4 linked regions of the Schizosaccharomyces pombe genome follow. The protein of the gene in region 1 binds, or shares a complex with, the protein of each later gene. Each region holds a gene or a part of one and is shown on either strand. Other genes may lie near its edges. The genes, in order: mrpl12, mrpl1, img2 and mrp20.

Evidence for each region.
Region 2: mrpl12 (region 1) and mrpl1 share a complex: the UniProt entries of both Schizosaccharomyces pombe proteins name them as parts of the mitochondrial large ribosomal subunit.
Region 3: mrpl12 (region 1) and img2 share a complex: the UniProt entries of both Schizosaccharomyces pombe proteins name them as parts of the mitochondrial large ribosomal subunit.
Region 4: mrpl12 (region 1) and mrp20 share a complex: the UniProt entries of both Schizosaccharomyces pombe proteins name them as parts of the mitochondrial large ribosomal subunit.

What each region holds. Positions count from the first base shown.
Region 1 is NC_003421.2:1,158,572-1,166,645, reverse strand, and holds mrpl12 (mitochondrial 54S ribosomal protein bL12m), read right to left. Parts: upstream 6,191-8,074; 5' UTR 6,137-6,190; coding exon 6,102-6,136; intron 6,053-6,101; coding exon 5,566-6,052; 3' UTR 5,311-5,565; coding exon of another isoform or gene 4,654-5,310; 3' UTR 4,330-4,653; downstream 1-4,329. Other genes in the region: putative uroporphyrinogen decarboxylase Hem12, read right to left, coding at 42-87; SPOM_SPCC4B3.06C (NADPH-dependent FMN reductase), read right to left, coding at 856-1,458; protein Nro1, read left to right, coding at 2,596-3,777; Lsk1 complex gamma subunit lsg1, read left to right, coding at 4,654-5,310; ipk1 (inositol 1,3,4,5,6-pentakisphosphate (IP5) kinase), read right to left, coding at 6,520-8,074. UniProt on the Schizosaccharomyces pombe protein: Component of the mitochondrial ribosome (mitoribosome), a dedicated translation machinery responsible for the synthesis of mitochondrial genome-encoded proteins, including at least some of the essential transmembrane subunits of the mitochondrial respiratory chain.
Region 2 is NC_003424.3:1,789,016-1,796,473, forward strand, and holds mrpl1 (mitochondrial 54S ribosomal protein uL1m), read right to left. Parts: upstream 3,437-7,458; 5' UTR 3,229-3,436; coding exon 2,467-3,228; 3' UTR 2,385-2,466; downstream 1-2,384. Other genes in the region: ftp105 (Ubp5 interacting protein Ftp10), read left to right, coding at 1-677; protein saf5, read left to right, coding at 1,610-2,263; poly(A)-binding protein Crp79, read right to left, coding at 3,578-4,936, 5,008-5,482, 5,574-5,751, 5,837-5,957; protein Mmc1, read left to right, coding at 7,285-7,458. UniProt on the Schizosaccharomyces pombe protein: Component of the mitochondrial ribosome (mitoribosome), a dedicated translation machinery responsible for the synthesis of mitochondrial genome-encoded proteins, including at least some of the essential transmembrane subunits of the mitochondrial respiratory chain.
Region 3 is NC_003424.3:585,999-593,290, reverse strand, and holds img2 (mitochondrial 54S ribosomal protein mL49), read right to left. Parts: upstream 2,225-7,292; coding exon 2,045-2,224; exon of another isoform or gene 1,874-2,044; coding exon 1,736-1,873; 3' UTR 1,139-1,735; downstream 1-1,138. Other genes in the region: SPOM_SPAC3H8.04 (chromosome segregation protein), read right to left, coding at 1-548; csr102 (sec14 cytosolic factor family phosphatidylinositol transporter), read right to left, coding at 3,032-4,366; pdc202 (pyruvate decarboxylase), read right to left, coding at 5,979-7,292. UniProt on the Schizosaccharomyces pombe protein: Component of the mitochondrial ribosome (mitoribosome), a dedicated translation machinery responsible for the synthesis of mitochondrial genome-encoded proteins, including at least some of the essential transmembrane subunits of the mitochondrial respiratory chain.
Region 4 is NC_003424.3:399,111-406,052, forward strand, and holds mrp20 (mitochondrial 54S ribosomal protein uL23m), read left to right. Parts: upstream 1-3,775; 5' UTR 3,776-3,949; coding exon 3,950-4,435; 3' UTR 4,436-4,702; downstream 4,703-6,942. Other genes in the region: ATP synthase complex assembly protein atp25, read left to right, coding at 1-227; ATP-dependent RNA helicase Dbp10, read right to left, coding at 438-2,761, 2,862-3,084; AP-2 adaptor complex subunit Apm4, read right to left, coding at 4,703-5,969, 6,028-6,092, 6,131-6,139; SPOM_SPAC31A2.10 (Ran GTPase binding protein), read left to right, coding at 6,692-6,814, 6,854-6,922. UniProt on the Schizosaccharomyces pombe protein: Component of the mitochondrial ribosome (mitoribosome), a dedicated translation machinery responsible for the synthesis of mitochondrial genome-encoded proteins, including at least some of the essential transmembrane subunits of the mitochondrial respiratory chain.

The sequences.
Region 1 (8,074 bases):
TGAGTAAGCGCTTACAAATTGCTAAAGCGAAAGTATAATACCCTTTGCAGCCCTAAGAATCAAGTCATTTTTCATTTTTGGGTACATTATTAATGCTGAAATGACTATTTAGAAATAATGTAAAGATAGTAGGAATGTGGGAGACAAGAGAAAGGATTGCGCTAACCAGAGATCGTATCACCATGTAAGAAAATAGGGAACCACAAAAGATTTGGCAGAATTAGCAGTAAATTCTACATTTTCTCTAGTCAAATCTAGTTAATTTGTTTAGATATTTCATAGTCTCGTGTATTGAGCCGTTGTCTTGAAAACTAAAATCCCTTCAAAGTATACCTAAAACCGATAGTATTGTAGACTGGTATAAGGTTCAGAGGCCTGACTACCCGAGACCATATCATAATGCTTATAATGCATATTATTCATAACGACTACATGTGTGTACATATTTTCTTGACATGTTAACAGTCAAAACAAAGCAGTTTTTCAAGTAGTAATTATGTCCTTTTTCTTATAAACGAAAAACACGAATAGCTTCACTGAAATTGTATTAAAATATAATTTTAAAGGGAACTTTTACTGCTGAACAAATTCGTATTACACAATGACTGAATATGAACCGTGTTTACTAATACATGCGTGCTAAAAATCCTTCATTAGGCAACACGAACAGCAGGAAGGATTAAGGTATTAGAGTCCATTGGTAAGTTGATATGACAGTAATAGATCTATCCATGTGAATAAAATCTAAAACCAAACAGATTTACTGGAAAATTGGCTTTTTAAAAAAAAACAAAAAACAGACTTTATTAAATGCACTCTATACTAGCTTTCAAAATACTCTTATGTTTTAATTATCTAGGGTTTCCTTTCAGGATTGCTTTCAAACAACTGAGAAAACTCACCGAAGGCTTTCTTAAGTTCACCAAGGTGCTTTGTAAATTCAACCGCTGGGTCGACTACACCTTGAACAATTTTATCTCTGGGTAACGTGAGCGCTGGCATGGTAGGCGCGACTCGCATCTTAAGAAAACCGGCAACATGTTTTAGTTGCGAAGCACAATCTCCTCCTCCATGGCCACCATAGCTTACAATCAAAAGCGGTTTTCCATTCCACTCGTGATACAAGTGGTCTAAGGCATTTTTAAGGATTGCAGGATATCCACCATTGTATTGCGGAGTTACAAAAACAAAACCATCTGCTCCAGCAATTTTGGACCCCCAGGCCTTAGTATGTTCCTGAGTGTACACATCTATTCCCATAATTGGAAGTCCGGGTTCATCGCTCATAGATAGAGGCCAATCAGTTAAATCAACTTTTTCGTAGTCAAAATTAGTCTCTCTTTTTCCCATCTCACCAACCCACGTTGCAATAGTTGGACATAAGCGTTTGCTGCGAACGCTTCCCATAATAACCAGGATTTTGGGAGTAATCTTCAGTAATTTTTCAGGCAAGGTCATGATGTTAATAATGTAAATGAATATCTGAGTATTCTTTTACTGTGTGAAACAATGTAGTGCTTTTATAAACTAGCATGTTGTTATGTCCGAGCCTCGGACATGACTAATTGTTCAAGATAACTTAGTAATATTAAAAAAATTAGAAATTCTGTCATCAAATGGTAAAAAAGGCTTTATTTTGTTTTATAATTGGCTAACAAACTTTCAATTTCATCTAGTACATTCATCCTAAGTACTTATTACTTCGGCACCTGAATCAAGTAATTTATTGATATGGCGACCGAAATATATATACTAGTGCTGTATTTTTAAGGTGCTGGAGCAATCTTGGTCCATTACCATAAAGCAGCCGTTTAAAAAAATTAAAATAAACAAACTCGTTGATCAGATATCGTTCAAAAACTAAGAAACGAATTCAAATTCCCTGCCAAAGAAACGGTCAAAACCACATAAAAGTTGCGATTTCGTATTATATTATTGTTTAATAAAGATTAGCGTTACATTACAAAACTGCCAAATCTTCAATGTTATCTCGTGCTGGCAATTTTGTATAGCACCTTTTTGCGCCATAAGCCCTAAGAAATATTGCCGCATTTTGAATATCATAGATCTCCTTTACAGAAACCTATCTTAATCAATTTACTAAGTTAAATTTCGGCTAGATATGTTTACTTCAATTGCTCTAGATCCGCTGAAGTCATAAAGCTTTACTTTCTTCCATCTCCTTTTTAATTTTGCTCTTTTTTTTTAACAATGAAAATCCAAAACGTGTTAATGTATCTTGCTGCATAATTAGATGTTTAAAATAAGCTTCCCCTTCACAATTTAAAATCATCAATTTTTGTAAACAAGTCAATATGTACGACTGTATTACGAGCCTCTATACTTTCCACTAATACATTTTAACATGTCAAGTTCTCCAAGCTTCTGGTAACTCGTTTTCCACAGCCACAAAACGACGGTATTGTTTTTGTTACGCCATGCTCTTATTAGGTTTAACGCACATGGCCGACAACGCAACAACAATACCACATTACGTTGTAACTTGCTAACAAGTTTCCCGCGCGATTTTTGGGTAGAAAAAATCACTCGATGTCAACGCTGCCTTAGCAAAACAGGTTAATTTAACGGTTCGTTATGATTGGAAGAAGACCTCAAGGTCTACGCGCTGCTGCTTCTTTAAAGAAGCAGCAGCAGCTTGAAAAACAAAAGCAAGAAGCCTCTTATGAGCTGTCAGGAAACTCGTCTCCTAGTAAGGAAAACGGAAGCGAAAATGTCGACAATGGAGAAATGGAGGATGAGACAATGCTTGTTTACACAGAGGAAGACAATATTTCACAACTTTGGGGTTTATACGAGATGAGTCGCGAAAAGTTGGAAAATGACGATATAGATGCTAGTGTGAGCCTTGTCTTTGGTACCATTCACGAGGCTGATAGAATATTACGGAATACCGAGGACATTTCTACATTACCCAAGGACTTTCACGCGGCCTATTCCTCCGCTCTTTTGGCTGTGTCCGAGCTTTTCGAAATTGCACAAAAGCGTCTTAAGGAAACCAATACCGAAGAATCCTACATAGATGCTGCAATCGAGAGAGCTCAACTTGGCTTGGATGCTCCTGGCAACGAATCGAGACTTTTCCTTGCTCTTGCTCGTGCTTACCTTGAGAAGGTACGTGTTCTTGTTTGGCGTCACGATAACGAGGAATCTCTTGCCAACATCCCGGTCACTCAGTTGGTAAACCCATATATTGAGAAGGCCATCCAATACCTTCGTCCTCTTGCTCAGGATTCCACTGAATATTTTGATGCTCTTACCCCCGATTCTTTACGCCCATTATACATTCTCTCTTCCTACCTCTTTCAATTCGGTGATCAATTCTCTGAAGCTTTTCTCCTTGATGTCTGTTCAATTATAACTGCATTGTGGTTAAAATCTGTTGTCGATCCCAACACTCCTGCCTATTATAAGTTAATCGCTCAAGAGGCTGTTCTAAATAATTATACTACCTTCGCGGAATATTATATGGATTTGCTCGACAACAGTGAAAGTAATGTAGATGACCTAATCAACAAGGCTTCCAGCTGGCTCAACAATTCTGTCGATACCTGGAATGTTATTTATACTCTGGATAAATCTCCTGAACGCTTGTTAAAACTTGCGGATATAAAGATGGATCTGGCTCAAATTGTTCAAGACGAGGCTAGTCAGGATAATTACTTGAAGGAAGCTTGCAATGCTATCAAGGAGGCTCAAGGATCAGGTGTTGAGTTAAGTCCTGATTATGTTGAGTTTGTAGAAGCTTATTCTGCTTAGGATCGCTTTTACTTGCAACTTGACGGGTGTATTTCCATTATATCATTATCCCGTTGTTATATTTTTCTCCTTGAACAATACATCCTGCATTTTTTTTCTCTTTTCGAGAGTATTTTTCTCCATTATATTTACTTTTTAGGCAAACCTTATAAGTTTGTCGCTGGCCATTTTAGATTTCAAAGCAGTTCTTTATTGAAAGGAAATGTTGATTTTGTATGTACGACTTAGTAGAGCGTATAAAAAAATAAAAATTGTTTACTGATTCATGGGTTTCATTTTACCATATAAGTAAGGTCGGTTTTTGTGCTTTTATTAAAGTATAGTAGTTATTCTTTCCCGCTATTTATACTCAGAGATCCTAACAGTTTGGTGAATGGTTATAACTTTATCAGGGCTATATAAAAATATCTTTGAAAATTTACTATTTCGCTGTTGAAATTACTAAAAAAGTAGTATTTAATAAAATGAGATTTTAGTTTCTTTAAAGGTACAGTAATAGTGTTTGAAATAAAGTAACATGCTACTTAAAGCAACAGATTTTGCAACATGCTAACAGTTTGAAGACCTCTTAATATTACTTATGCACTGAGTATATTTTAATTTATTTGAATCTGGAAAGGTTCAACGTCCTTTCGCAAAATAGTATCCCAACGCTTTTTTTAGTCTCAAATTTCAGAGATTGCAGCTTCAAGAATAGATGAACACTTGGCAAAGGAAGTTTATTCTATATTTGAAATTTAAGACAACACACATTATTATTATTTAAAAAATTATTCTTGATGTTTTTGGAATTCAAAGTTCACGAAGTATAAGAAAAACCATCATAACAAAAATCGTTGTTGCACTCGCAATTACCAATATACTTGCAATAATAAAATGGATCCATTTGAGGGCCGCATGACATTTCTACAGCTTTTGGGAAAATTGAATGCATCGCAATTCTCTCAAATTAAACCCGCGCAATTTGCAATTAAGCATCTAGACTTGGAAGAAGACTTATATTCATGTATATGGGAGGAACTAGAGTCAGGTTCGTTCAATACAAGAGTGAATATCATGTACTTTGTGGACACACTCTGTGAGATGTGCTTAAAAAATGGCCTTACAGGTGGATATCTTAATATGATTAGTAGAGATATCTGTAAGCTAGTCCAGAACGTAGCTCCTATAGGAGCTGCTGGAGCTGCTAACGCTCCAGAGGTTAGAAAAGTACTCCAGTCTTTGCATGAAAAGAAGGTAATCGATGATAATCAATATAAAGATGCTATGGCTACGGTAGAAGCCCATGAACAAGCGAGCAAGTCAGGTGATACCAGTACTTCAGGAGCCATTTCAAAAAACGACATTCTTAAGAGGATTGAAGAAGACAGAGAGCGACACAAAAGAATGCGTGAAAACATTTGGGCTATTTCAGAACCAGAGTTAGAAGCGGAAATTGCATGGAACACTACCCAAGGAATTACTGAAAGCGATTTGGAATCCCTAAAGGATGAATACGAAAAGTTTAATGAATGTCTTCATGCAACTTCCTGAACCGAAGAGCGAAAACATAGAGTGTAACCCAAATAGAATAAAAACATATAATTAACTAATAATTTTGGAGTATTTTATACATTACCTAATATCTGGTTTTTTTAGAGATGATGAATTTTCCCTCCGTAGCTTAGTTTTTATGGGAATCCAAGAAAGTAAATCGTGTCACAATGTCAAAGCAATAACAAAAAGGTTGCCCAAAGAATTTGAATGGCGGAAAAGCATAGAAATGAAATTTTTTATAAACAACCCAGTTTATTCGAGGACTACTTTACAAGAAAGTTTCTCTAACTTCGATTTTATAGCTTCAGCATCCTCTTTCAAAATATTTTCTTTCAAAACCTTTGGAGCACTTTCAACGAATTTCTTTGCGTCCACAAGAGATAATCCCAAAAGAGACTTCACCTCTTTGATCACCTTGGCTTTCGAACCAGCATCAAACGATTCGAGTTTCAAATTCCAGGTGGTTTTTTCCTCTTTCTTTTCCTCAGGAGCTTTCTCTTCAGAAGGAGCGGCTGAAGCTACTGCTGGAGCCACTGCTGCCATCGGAGCTATTTCAGCAATGTTTAACTTCTCCTTTAATTGCTTTACAAGTTCAGACGTCTCTAACAATGATAGAGAGCTTATTTTGTCAACCATTTCCCCAATTTGGGCATTATTGTTTTGTACAGATGCGGCAGCTCGAAATGATCGCGTGTTTACCAACGATCTTGCCCAGTTCTTACTGGAAGATAAAGCACGTCTTTTAAAGTTAGTATAAATTTGTTAATTAAAAATAATTACAATCTTACAGATTTCTTGTTTGGCGTGATGCGATGCGAAACATGCTGTATTTTAAAATTATACTTGAGGTGAAGTAAGGTGCAAGTGAGATGGGGGTTGGCAAGTTAAGTATAGTAACTACAACTTTTAGGTGATCATTCATCAAATATCTAAAATATGTTCAATGGATCTTATTAATTTTTCATTAGTAATAATTAGAAAATAAACTAACCTCGTAGTAAAAAATGCTCTAGAATTATTAAGTGTTCAACAGTTAGTTGAAGAGAACAAATAAATCTAACCCTTTATTTTTATGCTTTTATCTCCCTGTTAATTATCAGGCATATAACAAATAAAACAAAAATGCATAATGTATTGAAATATTGCAATAAATCCACAAATTGATGGTGGTATTACATATTAGAAAAAAAATTAACAATGAGATAATTACTTTATGCTGCTCCGGCATGCTTTGTCAGTAGACTTCATCCCACGACCATAGTACCAACCGCCTTCAATCAAATTCCTTTCATCACGTTCCCATTTAGACATTTTGGTATTCATGTCTTTAGGATCTAAATCTAGTAATGTTATGTGATCTTTACCAATGTATAAAGTCACATCTCGAAGGGTCATCGCTAACGCAACATCAGTACGAGAGTATTGCTCTTGTAGGTCACGAAGCTTCCGTAGTATACCAGACTGAAACAATCTCATTGCGATATCAGGACTCACAAATCCTTGAAGACAGCACAAAAACTTGGGCCAATTGTTGAAATCAAGCTGTAGAGGACAAAAACCAACGGGTCTACCACGCATACGGCTAAGGGCACACGTTCGACAAACAACCCAGTCAGGTGGAGCGGCAGGGGACTGAGTCAACCATTTTGGTTTCATTTCAATTCCATCTTTGAGATCTTTCATTACCAAACAGTATTGCTCATTTAAATTTAAATAAATACCAGAAGCATTTTGGGCCGCCAGCAAAAAATCCCTAGTAACTGGCTGCAAAAAAACCTCAATTAAAAAGCTTTCCATTCCAGCAAACAAAGGATAAATTACATTTTGATAGTATTCATAAACTTGTTCTGTAGTAAAAACCTGTCCTCGACGTCGAAGACGAATTACCTTGTCTTGAAAGTAAGGATTTTTACCAACATACTCAAACACCACATTCGCACTTCCTGAGGCAAGGTATGCCCATTCAGAAATCACCAGGGATTTACCGGTGGAGGAATGATTGGAGATAACGGATGTTGGTGAATAAGGTGCAGGGGATTTAAAAAGCGGATTCGATATAATTGGAACTTGAAAATTACTACTAGCAACCGATTCATCTTGGGACTCTACACCAGAAGAAAGGGCTTTCATGGATGGAGGACGCGACATAATTGGAGTTGAAGGAGTATGTGTGTCAACGGGAGAATTTGTAACAGAAGAGCTAGCGGTACTAGCCATAGGCGAAAGGCTTACCTGAGACGCTGAAGTATGCAAATTCTGAGCGATGAGAGAATTCATGGCATCAATTTTTCCAGCTTCCCACTCTCTATTTGATAAAACATCACCAGATTTTGGAAGTTCTACGGGAGGACGGTTGTTGTTTACGGCAATTAAGGAAATGCTTTCAGCAGCCTGGCAAACTGAGGAAAACTCAACGAGCCACGTTTGGGGAATATCGTCTTGAAAACAATCCCAAGGGCGAACAATGTTGTGCATTTTTCGAAACATTTGAAGTTGCAAGCAGTAAAAATGCTTCATAAGTTGTCCAAAAAAAACACGACTTTTTGCAATAAGAGTTGGGAAGGACAAAGTTAAATGCTTCTGAAGGTCATCCAATTCACCATTGACACGGACAAGCTGGCTTTGTAATGCTTTAATTTTACTTTTTTTGGTTTCAGGATCAGGCAATTCGTAAACAACCAATAATTCTTTTTGAATTTTTTCAAGTTCTTTTACTTTTTTATCTCTTCTTTTAATCATTTCAACTGCCTTCTTTACATAG
Region 2 (7,458 bases), on another chromosome or scaffold:
GTTCACGCGGTGGCTTATCACATATTTCGAGTAGAAATGTTTCGATTTCTGTCCCGACAGTCCTTCAAGATGTATTCTCAGATTCTCCATTGGTTCTGTCTAGAAAGTTGCGTGGGAAAATACCGGAAAATGTTTCTAGTTCAGAACTTATTAAAAAATGTGCATCCAATCCGTTTGGAAAAGATTTAGAAATTGACTCAAATTTGTTTGCACCTTCCAACTCGTGGTTTAATTCTTGGCATTCAAGACTTGAATTGGATTCTATTCTAGCCATTATATCTCAGTTTTCTCTACCTGTATACAAGAAAATGAATGAAGAATTATCAACTACTGACGAAGCTGTTAAACTATTAGCTAACTCTGTGCTAAATGATGTACATCCTCGAGTTCCCAATTTTCGCTACTTTATTTGGAGTGTCCCTATGAATAATTGGTTTCAAAGTCTTGTTTGGCTTTATACTTTGTCATTTGATGAAAAAGGTTTAATGGCTACTCCCTCTTTATTTACAACCTCTAAAGTGTACAAACAACATGGAAATATCATGAAAGTTGCATCTCCTGAAAACAGTTCTAACTCAATGGAGAATGCCACAAAATCTATACTTGACAAACTCGATTTGCTGTATTTACAGCTGCCAAGTAGTGTCAACCACGATTCCAGTTTACGCAACAAGTGATTCTTAAATTCAATGCGTAAATTAAAGTATACTTTTGTCCTAAAAAATATTTGAAGAAAACCCTGCATGCATGTTATGGTATCTTACTTTGAAAATTTATTGATTAAATTGTTCACTAAAAAATTATCTTGGAGGATTTGCATCCACATACTGCCATCATTTAATTATATACTGATGACCAGAATCTTGCCTTGCTAATTTTGATTTTTGAACTTTTCGATTTGTTTTCATTCTATTAATTAACTAAAAACTGGCTTGGAGAATCTTCTGCTCCAACCTTGTCACTAGCTTTAAAAAAGTCTTTCGAAGTTTGATTTGGAAAGTTGGTGTTTGAAAGTCAATCTCGTATACTTTAGAAAGACCCACCTTTATGAGAGAAACGATCCACTGATGCTAATTCATTACATGTATCCAAATCAATGTATAACCTTATATAGCAATGAATTGGTTGCTAAAAAATTCTTAGCTTTATTTCGCTACACTTATAAATCTGTTTACTATATAAAATAAAAAATCCAATTTCAAAAGTTTTGAGTCCCAATTTTTTGGGTAACGAGGATTACTTCATAAAGACCTTAGACCTTTCCTTTATTTTTTCCACAAAACTATTTATATTCATGAGTTTGTTTTGTAATTGCAATGAATAACTAGCTTGTCATTTACGAAAATTGCATATCAAAAGTATTTGAGTAAAATCGATATCCTGTTTGGCATAATGGTTCAATTTATAAAAAATTCGTGTGGTTAAGAGTAGAAATATATTTTCGATTTTGCGAAATGCTTAATATGCGAAGATATTGTATTTGAGTACTTCAAAAGAATACAACGCACAGTAAACCTTTTCTTTCAATAAATTATCAGGTAGAGGTGGCCTTATTACTGTTTTTTAATAATTTTTATGCTTAAATACCTATTGGAAGCAAGAAGTAATTATGATTACCAAAATTGACTCACTTCCAAAGGACCTAATTCGCAAAGTTGAAAATGGTGAAAAGTTGTTGCCAAATCAAGAAATCGTTTATTTTGAAGAAAAAACAGTCCCCTATAAAATTAGAAGTGATGAGGAAAGTTTTCCTTTGGGCAAATTGATAACTTTATTAGTAACTTCACAGAGCTTTATCCTTTTTGATGAAGAACAGAATTCTGGCTGGAAAATTCCATATGAAACCATTACTCTTCATGCGAAACAAAGCAAGGATAAGCCATATGTATATGTTCAATTAGAGGGTGAAGCCATTCGACCCTTGCTAGATCACATTCTTAAATTTGAACGGTCGTCAGGAACATTGCATGAAGCTCCTTCTACCGAAGATGAAAATGAATTCACAGATGATTTTTTAGAACTAACATTATATGTTACTGATGTTGATTCATGTTACCAGGCTCTTTGTACTTGCCAATCTCTACATCCGGACACTTTTTCCTCAGATAATGATGTTGAAAACGCGAGTATGGGAAACCCTATGTCCTTATTTTTTGATCCAAATCACCAGTGGGTTACGGCTGAAAACGTAGATACCTCAGCTTGTGATAACAGATTTGATTCTCCGGAATCGCCTGTTCTGAAATGGCATCGCACAGAGTAACTTTCATAATGTTGTATTCTAACGTTTCATTCATACTTTTTAAAAAGTAGTTTATGATAATAAATAAATATAAACAGGCTTCTAAATTTACTAGATAAAATATCATTACACATTTCACTAATTTGTACAAAATTAATCATGTAATACATATTACAAATGACAAGACTGTAGACTAAATTTCCCATGCAATAACATTTTAATCATTATTTATACTGGAGAGGAATTGCAATAGCATGTGAGGCGGAAAGATGAACATGCTTTACGGTAACTTTAACTTTTCCAGGCAGTTTGGCCAAAGTAAACCGAACATTTGATACAAGTGCTTCGATGTTTTCTTGTAGCTCCTTGTCGCTGAACCCTAGTTTTCCAACCGGCAAATTTATCGAGCCTGCATCATTTTGCCGATAGTCAACAGCTGTGAGGGCAGATTCAATGAGTGGCTTCAATTCATCTGATATAGTACCTCGTTTTATTGAAGGCATAAGACGTTTTGATCCTAATAATTTAGCAACTTGTGGTAGTAATTCTGCCGAGTTGGGATGAGCAAAGCACTTTGAAAATTCAAGGGGCTCTGTTTGAATTTTTTTTACTAAGTCTTCTGCACCAACATAGGTTGCACCCAATTTTAAAGCTTCATCTGCAGCTGCACCTTTAGCAAACACACAAATTTTAGGAGGCTCTTGAAATGGATGAGGAAAGGCAATTTGACCACGAGCTGACGGAGCGCGTCGATTACTTTTTAAAGCAATTGAAAGCATATAAGACCCAACATATGGAACAGAAATGCTCACAGATTTGAGATATTTTGTGGCTTCAGGAACTGTCATCGCAAGAGCGGGAAAATTGGATTTCTTGTTTAGTTGAGAAATAAACCTTTTGCAGAAACCCTTTTGATTTTTAAAATTTAAAAATTCATTATGTGACAATAATGTTTGCCGTTTACCTAACGCTATTAATGAACTCATGGTTTTTAATCTGGTTCGTCAAACTGTCACCAAGCTACTGGATGTCAGTCAATGAACCTGCTAAAATCATAAATCTCTAAACAAATCTGATCCAGCTGTCAACTTTCGAATTAATAAAGAATTATCTTTCAAATCAAATTTCCTTATAATGTTTTTGATTAAAGACTAAAAATAAACGGTTTCGTTTAAATTCCACGTTGTGGTAGTTGTAAGATACTGTAGGGTTATACTAGCAAATCCATCCGTTCACGATGTATATATTTTAAGGAGTTAAAAGTTTGTTCATCGGAGTTTTGAGGGATATAGCATTATGAATTTTGTTTCATAGTTATATCTTCACCGCATCTTGTTAAATCTGCGTCAACTGAATAGTTGTTGGTGAATTGTTGTTAACCTTTGTTGTTGATAAAAAATTTTCCTTATTTGAATCTTTAATATGATAGGAATTCATTTTTTGGATATTGGATGTAGCTTCTGGATAGCTGTCCATGTACCCGACAAGTGAAAGCATGTTCGTTGACTCATTACAGTCCTCATCTTGGAAATGTGAGGGCTCAACTGTTACGTACGTAAGAGTTGTACAGGTTGTTGCTCTTGCTCTTGGCACAAAGTATGCATTACTCAGCTTTTTGTTGTGAAGCATGTCTTGTATCTTCTTCAAGTTGGTGGCTGTTGAACCCATCTTAGCAGACCCTCGGTTATTTAGTTTTGTGTTAGCATGGAATACCAATGGTTTTAACAAGTTTCCTTGTTCTCCGTCATGGCTCAATTTTCCTGCTTCTTTCTTTATATCCAAGTTGCCTGATAACTGTCCACTAAGTTCCTTATTTTCTTGCTTACAGTTAACATATTCATTTGTCTGACTGGGTTCTTTGTTTTCACCAGTCTTAGGCTCATTCTTATTTTCAACCTTACTTGAAAGGGTCGTGGGATTCTCAGAGATTTTGTTTGTAGAAGACTCTATTGGCTTTCGGATGGTAACAGTAGAGCTTCTTTCTGGTTTGACGAACAAAGCTTTGTTGTCTTGCTGCGCTGTTTGTTCTGAAGTAGGTTTGTTTGCAAAAAATGCTTGCAATCTACGAATTCTGTCAGACTTTCGCTCCGCGAAGCAAACGAAAATCCTTTTTTTCCCAACCATCATTCCATTCAATGTGTCTTTGGCTCTAACGGCAGCCTCTATTTGACGAAACGCTACGAAACCATAACCTTTGGAGATTCCTGAATTTGGATAGCATGCTAACATGGAAGACAAAATCGACCCGAAGGGTGAGAATAAATCTTCCAGCTGACTCTTGCATGTGATGACGGTATCATCTAAATTTTTAACGTATAGATTTGAAGGGTCAATAGGAGAATTAGGGATACTTGGAGAGCTTTCACGTAAAGAGTCCCAATGCACGATTGACTGAGGTTTATTATCTGGGTTCCAAGCGGCTGGATGATTTTGCTGATTTGAAACACCGGTAGTTGAAACGCTACCCCATTGGCTTTTCTCCTTAGTTGGTGAGCCCATAATCCATGTCATCTTCGAACATGTAGCATTTTCGATATTTATTTGAGTTTTGTTAGCGTTTTCCGATGGGAAAGGCCATAAGCTTTCACCAGTCGGCGTTGTGGGAATTGACTTCACTGAAGAAGAGGCTTTATTTTTTATACTGACCTCTAAAATGCTTCCTTTGTATGGAACGTTATTTAATTTTTCTATTGCCTTAATAATGAGGTTAGTATCATGAAATAGATTATGCAAATATTGGGGTTTTCTCTTCATATTGAGCTTACATTTTGACATGATTCAACTGAATCCATAATCACTTCGCCATACCGGAACCCTCTTTGGTCAAGAAACTGGCTGACCGCCGTCCCTTTTACTACACCAGCCTGTTTAAAGTGGTTATATAAGTCAATCGGTGTGACTTCGGCAGGTAGGTTCAAGATACTAAGGGGTAACGTAGAAGCGAAGGCATTTGGTACAACTTGCATGCTAATATCTTCCAAACCAAGAGACGGTATGGTAAGCGTTGTTTCTGGCTTCGGGTTACGCGAATTTATGCCTCTCACAGTTTCCCAATTTCTTTCTTCGACATTTGGAATAAATTCCTTAATCTGAGACTGTTTGAGTCCTGGCTTAACGTTTTCCTCATCTGTATTGTTTTGGATGCTAGGATTGAACACGTTCGCAGTGATTGACGTATCGTTAGGTTTGAATTTTTTGTCTGTCAGTTTCGCAGGATTTACGACTCTTGCTTTAATGGTCCTTTTTTTTAGGTTAGTAATTTTTTGGAGAATGATTTTTCGATTTTTTTTTCTGTAATGCTTGTCTCTAATTTTTCCCTTCAGTCACTTACAATTTTCTTTGGCCCAGAGTCATTCCTTTAGCGTCCTTTAGAACTTCTTCAATGCTTTCAGCATTAACGAATTTGACGAACCCATATTGCACTCCATTTTTAGGAGGTTTAAAAGGTTTCGCTTTTTCCTTAGGATAAAAACTATCAAGTAATCGACGAAAGATGGATTCTACTTGTCCTAAAGAATTGATTAATATATCGCTTTTATTTATGTTTTCTAATGTTTTTCCTCGTGTTTTTATCCTTGACTTGTGTGTTCATACCATATTTTGAAAAGTGTTTGATGATTTCTTCATCAGAAAGTCGGGAATCTATATTTCCTACATATATAGTACTGCTTTCATCTTCATACTGTCCGGGGACAGAGAGTTTTGAATTGTTCATTTTATCTCAAAAAAGATGTGTGATGGAAAGGAATGGTTGTTGTTTTTGGTATATATAGGATCGCTGTTTGTTTACATTTCGATGATGCATGACTGAAACTATTACCACCATAACAAATGAGAGTAAACAAACCTTAAATTGACCTCTTAACATTTTTAGAGTAATATTTTTTGTTTTTTTTTAAAAATGCTTGTTTTATATTTACAACTTGATTTCCTAATATTCATGCAGTTTGGTTCATATCTGTTTTATCCATATCTCTACTAAATCCTCAAATCGCATTTATAATGACATTTTATTTTATTTTATTATTAAAGTCAATATTACCTGCTCGCATTAAAAAATATTTCAAATTCATACCATCCTTTTTTCGGCTTTCGCTGATTTCAAATTAAAAGTTGAATTTCCTTAAATGAATCAAAAAGCAATTAGGCTAATATTCTGGTGAATCCATTCATAAATTTTCAATTATTGTTGTTTTTGGCAAACCAACTGATATCGCACAACCTGTCAATAAGTTAGGTCAATCAGTTTATTACTCAAAATCCAGATGTTACTAAATTCTTTCATCTGCTTTTTTCTTTGGTTTTCTTTGATTTTAGAAGTATGATAGTTTAGAGCTTTACTCGCCTATATTCTTTGCTAACTAACTATACAGTATTTTACTGGCAAAAGGTAATAGATTTAGATAAAATAAGTTTGAATCGAATGACCATTAAAGTAAGTGAAAAGCAATAGGTGAAGATTTAGTGTAATCATTAAAAAGGTTATAAATGTTAGCAGTTCTCCAATATTAAGAGCAATTTATGTAGCTCATTTCAGTTCCTTCTAATCCATTTTAGACTTAAAGCTTCATTCTGTCGAATACCGTTTTCTTCAAATACTTGTATAAACCTCGGATTTTGTCACTGTTTATGAACAATGAATTCGTCTAAATTAACAAAATGCAAAATTCTTTGTTTTTTTGTTTTTATGATTGTTTGACTGAACAAATAAATAAACATATACAGATTTAAGGGTTAACAATATCCAATGATTTTCCAAGAATATTATACTGCTGGGTTAAGGTATTTTGATATAACATCTACGACACTACTCAATAGACACAACTACTATACAACCTTCGGGTGCCATCAGACAACAATTATTCACTATAGTATTTGTTTTAAGAATTATTAACTTATTAGTAAATGTTTTATTGTGTATTTGGAACTTTAACTAATACTATCTAAAATCCGGTAATCTCGTTCCTTTTTGGCTTTCGAATCTAGTGTGGTTCATATGCGATCCTTTGTTGTGATTAGTTTTTCATAGGCTCAGAGAAATTATGCTAAGATTTGGAATAAAAACATGGAAGCGCTCTGTGTTGGCGATACGCAGGTCGTCGACCGCTCCACATGTGCAGATCATCTCCAATTTGCAAAAAAAGCTGCTCAATGAGCTTTATTCTTTGAGAAGATTAGTCGATGACAATTCTCCTGCAACAATTCGTGTAGGAAAT
Region 3 (7,292 bases), on another chromosome or scaffold:
TGTGGCGGGAAAACAAGTGAAGGCTTGCATCGGCAAAACGAAATAACCCCAATTTCTATGGAAAACTCAAAAGGTACTGATGAACAGTAAGGCATGTGACCACTAAACAAACTCTCCTCGTATGATCCTATAAAACCACTCCTTTGAAAGCAGTTCTTCAATGAATAGGTATTTATACCTTTGGCGTTAAGAGAATGTTCAGCAGAAGCATCAATTGGTTGTTGTTGAGTTATATAATCACCAGACAATAATTTATTACAACGACATGAACATCTCGTGAACAGATGAGGCCCATTTGAAGGTTTAACAGATTTCTCATTGTTAAAAATTTCGAATTTCAATGGAGAATTACAGAGAAAGTGGTTGTTCGCCTTACTATTACCAGGAAAGTTTGAAAAAAAGTCTTTCATCTGACTTATCGATTTCAAATTCATCCATTCTTGTTCGATTGGAAAACTCCTGCTAGTAGAGAACAAGTTTCGAATATTTTTGTATAGCAATTCATTATTTTCAAGAGACGTTGATGTCGCACAATAACAAGCTGGCATTAATAAAAAAGAAAAAGAAAAGGAATAAAAGGCTTTCGATAATCGAATACAAATGAATGCGGTTTGTTCGCATTCAAGGAAAGTAAGGTATTAATGTCAAGAAAAAACAAAACAAAAAATTCAACACGGAAATAAAGTGCCTTATATCGTGTCAATGCTTAACCACTTTTTGATAAACGAAAAAAAAATAACAAAAAAAACAGAAAATCATTAAATCATGGATAACCGTAAGTATTTTTCGAGAAAGCCTCAGTTCACTAAAGAAAATATAATTCCCAACATTAAGAGTTATTCAGCTTATAATCACCAATAAAAAAGGGATAAACTACAAGGAATTTTCTTCTCGTGAATAATTAATTCATAAGCAAATTGTAAATCAACGTCTTCAGAACAAAGCAAAAATTTTAAAAGCTAAAAATGTTTGTCAAAATATTCCTATCACAGACAAATCCAAGTTCAATTCAAAAATAATGAAAAAGTCGTTGAGATTTCAGGATTATAAGTATGTGTGAAGGGAAAGGTAAAGAACAGTCCATGGGCGTATGACGCAGATATATAGATTATGTTTGAAGGTATGTTTTCGATATAGCATTTAATATTTGTCAATTTACAAACTATACAATATTGAGAAAAGAATTTTTAATTTAGTTATATACCCTAATAGCCTTAAACGTATTCTGTCTATAACTACAGTCAAAAAATAAAAACACCGGAGTTTCGATATATATATTATAATTTCCTTTAAGCGTTTATAAATTCAACAAAACAAACGAATAGGTAGCAAAAAAAAGATTGTATTTAGCATTTGGACGCCTCACATTAAGCAGATGTTTGAATTTCTTTTTACGCAAGTACCTCTTGAATGTTTCTACTGAAGCTCGAATAACTATTTATTTAAAGGTAGTTAAGGAAAACCATCACAAAAGATGCATTTTTTCCATTGTCAAGTTTGAAAACCACGTATGATGAGAAGAAATGAATCGAGATTAATTATTTGCAACAGCTGTGTTTTATTTGACATTATCACCGCTGTAACAAGGAGATGAAGTAAAAGTAATATGCTAAAAAGCCAAATTGATATATATGCTCGAGAGTTTTATGTTGATAAAAAGCAACTTTATCATTCCTTTGAAAGAAGGATACGTACATACATAGTAACAATCTAAAAAAGGAAAAATTCTAGGAACTTAAAAACCTTGGTCTTGTAACCATTCACGAACTGTGACTATGTGATTTCCCTTTAGGACAACTTGATTTGTTAACTTGTTTACATAAACATCTTTCGGTGACATTTTAAGTGTGGAAATGAGCCTGAGCCGCAAAGCCTATTGATAAAATATTGTTAGAAAAAAAAAAGAGAACGAATAAAAGAAGTTAAAATAAACTTGGGTTGGCCGTTAAAGCAAAAAGTTGATAGAACAATTTCCGCAGCATAGTGACTTTACTTGTACTTTCTTTAGCCAAGAGATTACTGCTGACGGAATATGTATACTTACATTAGAATCACCATGGATTTTACGAATTAAAGTCAGAATTTTCGTTCCTCGTTGTTTGTAGTCTAGATAGACTGGGAGATTTTTTGAAGGTGTACGTGAAACATGAAACCGAAGTGATTCGGATGCAATTGTTGAGTTGAACCTCAAATTTGATAGCACTGGCTTTAAGGATGATCGCATTTGGTTCAACAAAACTTTCTACGAGTTGCAGGAATTTATGGTGGATGTGTAAAAGAAGTCGTCGTGCATTCGCGAATAAAGAGGATTTCTATCATAACCTCCAAAAATTTGTAAGTTTTAAACAACTGTCAAACAGGAGCCTAAGATTAAGTGATTCACTAAGAACAATTAAAATAAAATAAAACGCTCTTGTTTTAAATAAATTTAATCGGTGCTTGAACCTCACGCGTGTTTAAACTCGAAAGTATTTTTACGGCACGGAATATACTTCAGCGAAGGTGCATACTCATTAAATTAATACTATATTTTGGAGTAGGCATTTAGGTGTTCAGCTTGTTGTTTTTTTTAATTTCGAACCGCTTTCCTACAATAAAATAAAAAATAATAATAAATAGCAAGAAATCTAAGTTAATTTGCAAATAAAACTGATCATTGATTCTAATAAAGACAAAATGGATGGATAAGTATTGCGACCAACAACTTCAATGAAAAGCCATAAGACCTAAAAAAAGTTATCCCTTTCTAGATGATTTTAAGTGCATTAAAGAGAGTGCTAAAAAATTAAAGCGATAAGGAAATGGTAAAACGAAAAGGGGTGTAAAAATCAACGTAGGAAAGAGATTTCATATGTAACTAATTGATATAAAAGATCTTGAAAGTTATGCATTAATAGATGATACAATCATATTTTGAGCCAGCATCTTATTTAGAATAACACGGGAAAGTACAATTAGTCAGTATACGGGAGTATAGGCAAGGGGAAGGATTACAATGTAAAATAGCAGGAATATTGAAAGTTACGACCGACTAAGTTGCCGAGCTAGTAACTTCTACCATTGATTCTTTGACATCTCCATTTGTAGGTTGAGAAAGAAGCAAAGTATGGGAAGTTTGAGGAGCAATTAGGCCCATGCGGTCGTAAACTGAGCGTGCGCGGATGTATTTATCCAAGTTCCAGTATGCATCAATAAGTTGTGAAGCTAACTTACGACGTTTTTGTTTCACTTCTGCCATGTCACCATTGTTCAAAATCCAATCCATTGTAACTTCCTCGTACTGTTTAGCAATTGCATCCTTTTTTGCTCTAAGACTCTTACGAGCTTCAACATTCTTCAGAGCTTCTGCTTCGTTTTGACAGGGTTCTGGATATGTATATCTCCATGGATTAGGCCCACCGAATTCTTTTAAAATATTGTCAGGATTTATATATTGTTGCAAATCACGATAATTACGAGTGAATTTAACCTTTGAGACAACCACTGGATCAAGCCAAGATTTGATGATGGACCAAACGCCTTGGAAAAGCCAAGGCGCTTTGTGTACAATACATTCACCCAGACATTCGGGATAGTGTGCTTCAAAACACTTGATCATGAATTTCAATGGCCCATAGTCCATATTGGACATACTGAAATCAGTCATATCAAAAACAACAGTAGCAGTTTCAATAGGAGGTTTGAGAATTAAACGAGCAGTTTCCATGACCCAAACTGTGAGTCGCTCAACCGATTCGGGTGAGACATCACCAACTTTATGAAGACGTGCGCGAATATAACAAACTGGACGATTGTGTTTATCTTCACCGAATATAAAACACTTTCCGATTCTTAGTTGACGCACAAAATCATCATCTTTATCAAGGTGGTCAGCGTTACATACAATTTCACCAACATTCATCTCTCTACTTCTCCAGTGAACGGTTTTCATGAACATTTCCAACGCAGCCTCAACGTTCCATTTTCGAGCACGAAGGAAACGAAGTAGAAGGCCATCAGGATCATCACAATTAACAGCATCCCAAAAGCAAACTCTAAGCCCTTCCGGGTCCCATTCACTTGCAATTTTTTCAACTCTTTCCAAATGCACATTTTTGGTTTTATCATTAAAACTGCGAGTGTCCGAGCCATGAGATGAAGACGTTAGTTCAAGTCGTGTACGGGATTTCGCATATGAGACGCTGCTTAAACGATGTGATGAGGAACTACTTGAATCATCAGATAAGTGTGTCTTCACTGTGTACCAAGATTCAGTTCTTTCGAGTAAAGTAATGCCGAAGAGCTTAAACAAATAACTCCACATAGTCTTCAACTTCTCTTCTTCAAGTTCTGTGAGATTCCACGGTCTACCGGCTCCTTCAGGCATATTTAATAAGTAAATTGCGCGCAAACAAATATAATCTAGAAAAAGTCCAAGGAAAAAATATATCAGATGAAATCAATATTAATAAAATTGAACTCAATTGAGAAGGAAATTACGAGAATAAGCCTAAAGAATGGAGGTTAATCTCGAAGATATATAATAATTTGAAAAATTGGCAAAGATAGACAAAAGAATGTGACGAGTCAAAAATACACTAGCCGTCAATTTGCTTCCTTTTGGTCAGAGATGCGAAACAAGCTCACTGAAAAACAAAACGTAATGCTTGTAGTAGAAAACAAAATAATATAGGGAACTTAGTTAACCGAATGAATGAATAAAAAAGAAGAATCACTCGACAAAAACTGAGTTGGTATTTTAAAAAAAAAGATAAAAAATTCCTCAGAGGACTATAAGTGGGCCTGAGAAAAAGCGTGAAATAATAACAAAGGGAGAGGAGCTCAATAATTTCTAATTCACCTTAATGTATATCAAAGTGATATATTAATGAATATGCAACGCACAGAAGGAAATGGATTTTTTTATGAAAGCAAAACGTAATAAAATAAAAAGTCACCTACAACTTTTTAAACGGATTTAGATTAATTACCTATTGGAGGCACAAAACGCGTCACAAAAATTAATGCAAAGACAAAGCCGTTCAAAAAGCAAAGAAAAGAAAACAGAGCTTTGAGAACATTCACGCGTTTAACACTTTTGAGAAATGACGGGGAAATTTTTAGGATGCTAAAAAGCGGAATTTTAAGACTTCCTGGTTTAATTACTTTAGCCAAAGAAGTGATCTAAGCTTTATAATTATTAGTAGTCGGTATTTTAGGAATCACTAGTATGCCGAAATTACGAAACTAACCGATCAACACAGCCTCTTCCTATACTTACACAATTCTTGGAATTAGTAGCAAGAATTAAAAGAAAAAGCCAACGAATATTAACCAAAATATATTTTTTCAAGGTACCAAACGCCACGAAATGCAGCTTACCTTCCTATGCGAAAGAATAGAGCGCTGAAGTATGGTGTGGTGTAGAGTGTCAAAGTCAGAAGCTGCGTTGCAGAACCATTTATAAACAACAACGCAAACCGTTCGTCCGTTGCTGTGATAGAGTGATACATAATATCAGTCAATTGCCTTTACCCGCTACATTACCTAGGAAATCGTAATAAACGAGCGTTATAATTTCATTACGTTACAAAACCACTGTATTAAATAGTAGAATCACCCAATTTTTGTAAAACTAATAAATTCTTAGCATATCACAATGTGAATGGAACGGTAGCTCCTATGTAAGAAATAAGAATGTTAAAGTTGGCTTTTAAGCAGTTTAGCAATTTTTCTGCGAAACTAGTAAGTAGATGCAAGGAAACTGGTTTCCACATTGTTTGGATTAACTCTACCTTTTCATTCATTGCTTCCAAGGTATTGTTTGTTTACGTACACCCTAACTTGACTTGAAAAATTTTAAACTAAAAAGTTGCTTTAAACATAAATTTAATAACTAATCATTATACTAAAAGACTATATGAATTGAATGGGCTTATCATAAAAAACATATAAATCAAAGGAAACTTTGTTTGCCAATTCCACTCTCAATAGCTTGCTCATTGCTTATTGATCTTAGACGTCAACTTGGCTTGCTCAACTAGGACACGAGGTGCATCCAACATAGGCATTACAAGCTCAACTACTTGAATGACATCTGCATTTGCAAACTCCTTGTCGCTAAACAACTTTTCAACGTCAGTAGGAGTTTTAACACAGTAAGTGCGGAAGTGGTTTTCAGCAGCTCCGAAAAACTTGGGAATCTGTTGGTAGCCCCATTTAGTGTTAATTTCGTTATAGCTAGCATGCAAACCATGAATTAAACGCTCAATGGTGTAACCGTCGTTGTTAATTATGAAAATAATTGGTTTGAGGTTATGGCGAATGCAGGTTGAAATCTCTGTAATCGTCAGTTGTAAGGATCCATCACCTACTACAAGAATGGTACGACGATCGGGCTCTTTAGAATCGTGGACGGCCAAAACAGCACCAAACATTGCACCAACGGAGTATCCAATAGATCCCCATAATACCTGGGAAATGGCTGTTACATCCTTTGGAAACCTGCAATCAAGGACACCAAAGTTTGCAGTTCCAGTCTCGGTGATCAAAACATCTCGGGGCTTCAAAAATTCACTAAATTTAGGCCAAAACCAGCAATGAGTAATCTCGTTGGAAGAATATCCTTCCGCATGCTTAGGCTTGATGTTGTAGCCAATGGTAGGAGCAGCCTTGGAATGACACATAGAAGCATCAAGTACTTTCAACAGTTTGCGAAGAATATACTTCATGGCTACATTTGGATAAAGAGCATATCGAATGCGCATGTGGTCTGAATGAAACTCAACGGCATTCTTTTGGCTGAGGTGGTAAGAGAAGGAACCCGTGTTAAAGTCTGATTTGAGAGCACCGATGGATAGCAACAGATCAGTGGATTCAATTCTGTCTTTAACTTCAGGATCTGAAATTGAACCAACATAAACGCCGTCAAAAAATTGCGAAGTTTCGTCAATTGCAGATTTACCCATGGGAGTTACATATGTAGGGAAATGGGTCAATTTAATCAGCTCATGTACTTCTGGAACGACACGATGTCTTACAGCACAAGCGTCAATTAAAATCACTGGTTTCTTTGCATTGACAACCATTTCCGAGATATGATTGATGACTTCTTGCTCAACTGCTGGATCGTTAGTATCCTCCTCGAGCTTTAGTCTTTTCCCAAGATTTGATGAAGATGCTTTGAAGTAGCCAGCATCAGAAGGAATACCAATGTAAACAGGCCTAGCCTTTTTATAACAAATCGACAAGGCTTCATCGATCTTTTCAGCTGCATCGTTTCCGTTATCGATCATTATACTGTAGGCAGAAAC
Region 4 (6,942 bases), on another chromosome or scaffold:
ATCACGTATACCTTTTGGCCTTCGAAAGTAAAAATGAGCGTGTCATAAATTATGTACTTACCAACATTTTTGAGGATATGGTTAGCCAGTCACCCCCCATTCCAGCTAGTAAATTAATGGCGACATCTTTAAAAAAATGTGTTCAAAGCTTACCCGAAAAGTATGCACATTCGTTTCCATCAGTGCGAAATTATATTGCAAAAATGGAAAACTCAATGACGCATTGAATCTGATGTTATTGTACTTTCTACGTATGCATATACGCGCATTTGTAATGTTTACTTTAAAACCTACCCCTTCTTTCATTAGTTCAATAAGAACAAGTAATAAATATTAACAATAGTATTTTATAATTTACCCAGTTGTAAATAAACCTAAACTAAAATTTTTTAACGCCGATGCAAAAATTCATGCATTTAGTTACCCAAAAATATAAATTATCGATGCTTTTTTGACGGCCGATTGTTTTTGGCAAGTCGTTTCTCTTTGAGCTCACGCGCCTTTCTAATTTCAACAGCTGATTTAAGCTCACTGTTCACCTTAATACCTATTCCTCTTTCTTTAGCCTCTCTATTACGTTTATTTTGTTTGTGATAGTTATCACGGAACTTATCAGCTGGTTTTGGAGTCTGTAACTTATTATGTTTATATCGCTTATTTTCCCGTATAGGAGAATCGTTGGCACCGAATGCTTTAGATGCTTTCCATTCATCAAAACGACCACTACGATATGTTGCAGGCAATTTCACGCCGCTTTCGCCACGAATTATCTTGGGAGACCCTTTGGACCCGTCTTCGTCGTTAATTATATTAACAAATTTCTTTTTCTTTGGATCCCAACGTTGTCCCCCCTTCCTTGATTGTTCAATTCCTTCGTCATTTGTTAAATCGAGAATAGCATGACGAGCTGCGGTAGTAAAATTTTCACCAGAATTTATAGCATAGCCAGTTTCTTGAATAGATTCCTTTGGAGCGTAATGAGACATATAATACTCTTTATCTTTAAAATCAGTTGTCTTCTTTTTTGATAACTCCTTAGGATTTTTAAATACCTCTTCAAGCTCTGACTCTGAAGCTTCTGACATATTACCAGGAGAACTGTCAGTGATTTTATCAGATGCAACTTCAGATTTTATTCCTTTTGGTTTTACTTTGTTTCTTCTTTTCCGCATGATTTCTGCAGCTTCTGTCTTTAAGTGACCACGCTGACCGATTTCAAATACTGTTTCTGATGGCCGATAAGAAGAAACTTTTGAAAGCAATTCAGCATATTTCTCCTCGGCCTCAATTACCGATACATCTCCAAATAATGGATTGTTGGAACTCCAGCCCTTGCTATCAACCAATTCCTTAGCTCTTTTAGCACTCTCAGCACTACAAGTAGCTCTTGTGCGAAAATATAGTTTCTCACCCCTTGCAGCAACGTTGGAAAGTTGCTGTAGCTCAACGTCTCTCGAAACTATTCTTTGTACCCATTCTAGTAGCTCAGCAACAAGTTCTTGGGGTAATGATCCCAAAACAATCTGTTTTGTAAAATCACAATCCGAGTCAGTTTTAACCTGCTTCGAGGATGTAACTAAAGGTCGGTTTAAAAATAGTTGTAAGTCTAATAAATAACCAGCATCTTCTGCTCTAACCAATGAATACGCCCAGCCAGTGCGTCCTGCTCGAGCTGTACGTCCTACACGGTGAACAAAAACTTTTGGTTGAGGAGGGAAATCATAATTAATAACATTAGCAAGTAATGGGATGTCAATACCACGAGAAGCTACGTCTGTAACGACTAGTAAATTTGTTTTTCCAAGTCGAAAATTATTAATTTCATTGAGACGCGCTTCTTGGTCCAAAGACCCGTAAATTTTTGAAACCGAATATCCTGCTTGAACAAGTAACTCAGAAACATACTCGACATGATGTTTTGTAGGAACAAATACTAGAGTAGAATCTGGTGATCCAGATTCACTTCCTTTAAGCGCTAATTCTAATGCACGTTTTCTTTTCTTCGGATTATTGACATTTCCTATTTCTCTTGGGCGCACGTTATCTTTTAGAGGAAGCTTAATGATATCTTGTAGTATACATAAGAGAGCAGCTTCGCGTTCAGCGGTTTTAACAGAAAAAAAGGCACTTTGTAGATCCGCGGAAACCTTGGATTCTACATCAAGGCGTACAAGAACCGGGTCTTGAAGTCCAGCCTTTGCAAAATCAACAAGAGTACGTGGAAGTGTGGCAGAGAAGAGAAGAGTTTGACGAGAAGTCGGCAAAGCATGTAAAATCTCTGTCAATTGAGCAGCAAAACCCATTTCAAAAAGTCTATCGGCCTCATCGAAAACGACATACTCGATTGAACTCAACTCCAATTTCATTTCCACCTTTAAATGTAGAAATCTTCCAGGAGTTGCGACCACAATATCGGGTTTTCCGGATAGCAAACTAAATTGCTCCTCTAGACTGACGCCACCGACGATAGCGACAGATCGAAGATCCGTACCTTTAGAAAAGTCTTTGACGACTTTCACAGTCTGAAGAGCAAGTTCTCGATTTGGCGAGAGAATTAAGGCGCGAGTATTAGAGTTTGCTAGAGTGGACTTCAAATGCTCAATCATAGGTATAACAAAAGCTGCAGTTTTACCTGATCCAGTACGTGCCATACCTACAACATCACGACCTTCCAATAAAAGGGGAATCGTTTTGCGCTGAATCGGCGTAGGAGCTTTAAAACCCTTCTTAAATATTGCTCGAAGTAAAGTTTGATTCAATCCTATAATTAAGTTAGAAAAATATCAAAGTAATTTAGATTACAGTGTCTTGAAGCATAATGCAAAGTGACCTTATGGCAAGTAATCACGAAGTTAACATACCCATCGATTGGAAATTAGAAGCCTTTCCATTCCCCTTTTTTCCCTTCGTCCTCCTGTTAGACTCCAAAAGCTTCGAGGCAATATAATTACCATCATCTTCATCGCTCACATTTTCACCAACATTTTCGTGCTTATCTTTTTGATTATCAGTAGCAATATCAACAGGAAAAGCTTTTAAAGAATTTGATATATCGACCTCGTCGGACGTCTGGAATCCGGACATTTAAGACGAGTGAGCTGCACTTTTGTTGATTTTTTAGTTCTCTAGTGTCGCTGGCAAGAAAATTTACCGTATGAATAACAACTATCAAAAGGGCCTTCTTAAGTTTGATTTAACATTCTCATTTCAATTGTTCTGCTGCGTTTCTTTATATTAAAAATAAGTAATCCAACGTATTTTAATAAACTATAACGAACTTGAAATAAGCTGCTTTATATGTCAGCAATACTACACTACGCTACGATATACTACGTTGTGTATCACTATATGTCACATGTTCATAATGTTCTATTTGCTCTATCAGCTTTACATGATAAGTTATCTAGAAGGATATAATATCATTTATGATAAGATGACTATCAGTTATAATCCTTGTTATTTCAAATGTTATAAATTGAGAACAACTGAATTTGATTCCTCAGTTCAGTTATAAGATATCTCAGCTATAGATAACGATATATCCTATATATTAGAATACCTATATCCAATTCCTACTTATACTACTTGCGTATTACAATATAATAGATCACAAGGAAAACTCACCGCAGTTCTACGTATCCTTAAATCAGATACCAAATTGCGTAGCTTACATATATTACGTTCTAGGATAATACAACCAGAGACGTTATTTGTTAATAGTATACAACTGAGCTTTGATGCAATAAAGCAACCGGATTCTCAGCACGTTAGTACTAAACAACATTTGAACTCCGTAATCCAACAAATGGTTAATAACTAATCGTTTACCTAAGGCCGTTGACATCAAATTCATCTTGAAATCTACTGTTGAGAAAAACCATTTGTTTCTCTTTTTTTGCATAACTAGCACAAGTTGCTTTAGCCTTGAAGTTGAAACTCAATAGTAAATATGAGTAAAATTGCTGGGAAAAGATTAGTGTACTTTCCAAATATAACGTTCACGTTATGCAGAGGACTAAATCTTCAACCTAAATTTGCAGTATTTCGCGTACCTCTTCATGTTAACAAGTTTGATGTTCGCGATTATTTGCAACATGTGTACAATTTAAAAGTCGTATCAGTTAAGTCAAGAATTTATCAGGGCAAACTTTTTAGAAATCAACTAGGACAGGTTAAGAGACCACAATCTGAAAAACGCGTCATCGTTGAGATGGAAGAACCTTTCGTTTACCCAAATGCCCCAAATGATTTGAAAGATTGGCAGGAGGGTGAATTACTTCCTGATGGTTCTAATGTGAAAACCCTGAGCAGGTATCCAAAGGTCCTTGAACAAGTTGACATGAAACGGGTGAACGAAGAGTTAAGTAAGTTACAAGATAAGCAGATACTCGAATCACAACAGAAAATCGCTAGACTTTTAAAGAAAAAGTATTAGTATTTTTTTCATTTCCCAGGTAATGTTTTATTTTGGTTTCCGTCTATTCATTAATGCCTACAAAAGCATAATTATAGCCTCAAATGCCTCATCGAAGCGGTATGGTGTTTAATTGCATTCATTATAACCTCTCTTCTTTCATCTATTAAACTTTCAACGCCACTTGTTTCATTTTGAAATGTTCTAAAACTATTTTGGAAATTCTTTTCATGTCGGAAAAGCACGGTCGTCAATTAATAAAATAATAATTTTGTATCACAATACTTCTTAAATGCGTATCTCGCAAGTTCCAGCCCTAGTTGAGTACCTTACCCATTTAATACTTTTGTATTTGCTATTAGAAGGTTCACTGACCCTTAAGTATTGCACATGTAGACCGGAGCTGGTAAACATAAGAATATTGAAATCTAAGGATATTGGAGGCTTCGCCCATATTTGCTGGTTAGTTGTATTAGATAACTCTACCTCAGCGTAAAAAATAAGTTCAGTTTCGCCTAAAAACCGGGGAATTTTCCAATTGATAATATTTTCAGAGGGCTCGTACCCTGCCTTTCCTCGATTTACACGAGGATTAGCTTTTACCACATTTGTGGGAACCGGTATCCGAAAGTTCAAAGAAGAAGAAAGTTTGTGTGGATAGTCTGCTCGTATACTGATACGATAAATAATTTTTTGTTTCGACAACTGTTCGACAATAGGAACAATTCTAAAAGGAATATTTATGTTTTCATGTGAACGATAACTCATTAATTCAACCTCACCATCCGGCGGAATGAAAGTAATTCTGTGTTCATTTTCAAATTCCGGCAATCTAACACATTGATGAAACTGGCAATCTTCTAAAATGACAAATCCTCCGTTAACTGAGGACGGATTTCTAGAGTTATTTGATTTAGACTTGCTTTCTGATTGTTTTAATTTAAAATCAAGCTTATCATTTAGCCCAAACTGACATTCAGGCATTCCAGAAAGCATTGCACGCATTTTCACGACACCAGAAACATCTGAGCGTAGCACATTTCCAGTAGAGCTAATAAGTAAATTCATTCTTTCAACAATATCAATGTAGATACTATTTTTTCTATACTTAATGCCAGCTCTACGCCATGGTACAGACCCTGGTATTTCAGAGGAAGTGGTGTGTGCCAACTGAGAGGAATGAGACCTTTTCAAGGACAGTGCATTGCCTTTCTTTTTGACAGCTGTTATGCTGACAGATCTTGCAAGTGCGTCAGGTTCAGTAGTCTGAATGATACCATAGTCTATCATTTCATCCAGCAACTCGAAAATAAAGGAGACATTGTCTTTGACTGTATTTTCATTCAGTTTCCCAAAATAATGTGTCAAATCTTGAATTAGACTCTCCAAAAATTCCAAAACAATCATAACATTTGGATTTCCTTTGGTAATGGCAACCACGTAAAGATCCTCGTGTTTCGTGTAAATGTAAGTACTTGATCCAATACTGACAATTGGGTGCCGATAATCAGTATTTGTTAGAATAGCAACGCGAAAAATTTCAGTTACTGATTTCCTTTCAAATGAAAAATTAGTGAAAATGAATCAAAAGCACAAAAATGTAATCTACATACTTTAAATCATGCCGAAAAGTCTTGCAAATGAGCGTGTCACCTTTCAGGTTAAAAATAAACAATCCCTAATATAGTTAGCTACAAATAGAATATTAATACTAACCGAAATCATGGAATATTGATAATATGCAAATGTAACAAGTACTGAGTATCTGACTACAGGCAGTTGAACGTAGCTTTGAACGATATGCAACGAAACGTACAGGCTATTCAACCCCGTTATAAGAATAAACGTAGACGGTCCAAGAGGTATTTTATTGCAAATGGAATAGGAGAAAATTATGCCATATAACTGTCAGTAAACAAGATGCTTTTAATAAAATTAAATAACTTTATTTCCTAGTAGGATGATTGAGGCAGTAGCAAGCAATACATTAAAATTTACAGTCCTTACAGAATCATGTAAAAGAGATGACGTTTCGACTGTCTTGCGGTCATTACCAATTTAAATTGGTGAATGTCGAGTAATGTCTTTGCAATAACTAGCAACTGCTGAAGCAATTCTATCTTTGTTTGATATCGCATATTAATAAGATGCTTATAAAGAGGTAAGTAGGTATTTAAATTACACCAACGACTTTTCATTCCTCAACTTCGCTTCTTGCAATTCATAATGCAAGTGGATTTAGTATAAACTAGTATACTTACAGTAATTACATAAAACATGGACCAAGTTTTATCGAAGGTTACAACTACTGCAGCAACATATGCAACAGCTTATGCTGTTAGAACTGGACTTCAATTGGCTGGTTCCCTAGTTGCTAAACGATTCTCTAAATACATACAAGTATGTTGGTTTTTTAAAAATGGTTTATAACAAATTTAGACGTCTGCTCCAAAGTCCTCTCAGTTTAACTTGGAGTTGGTAAAGTCGCGTTTAGAGCAAAAAATACAGGTATGCTACAGGAGCGATTA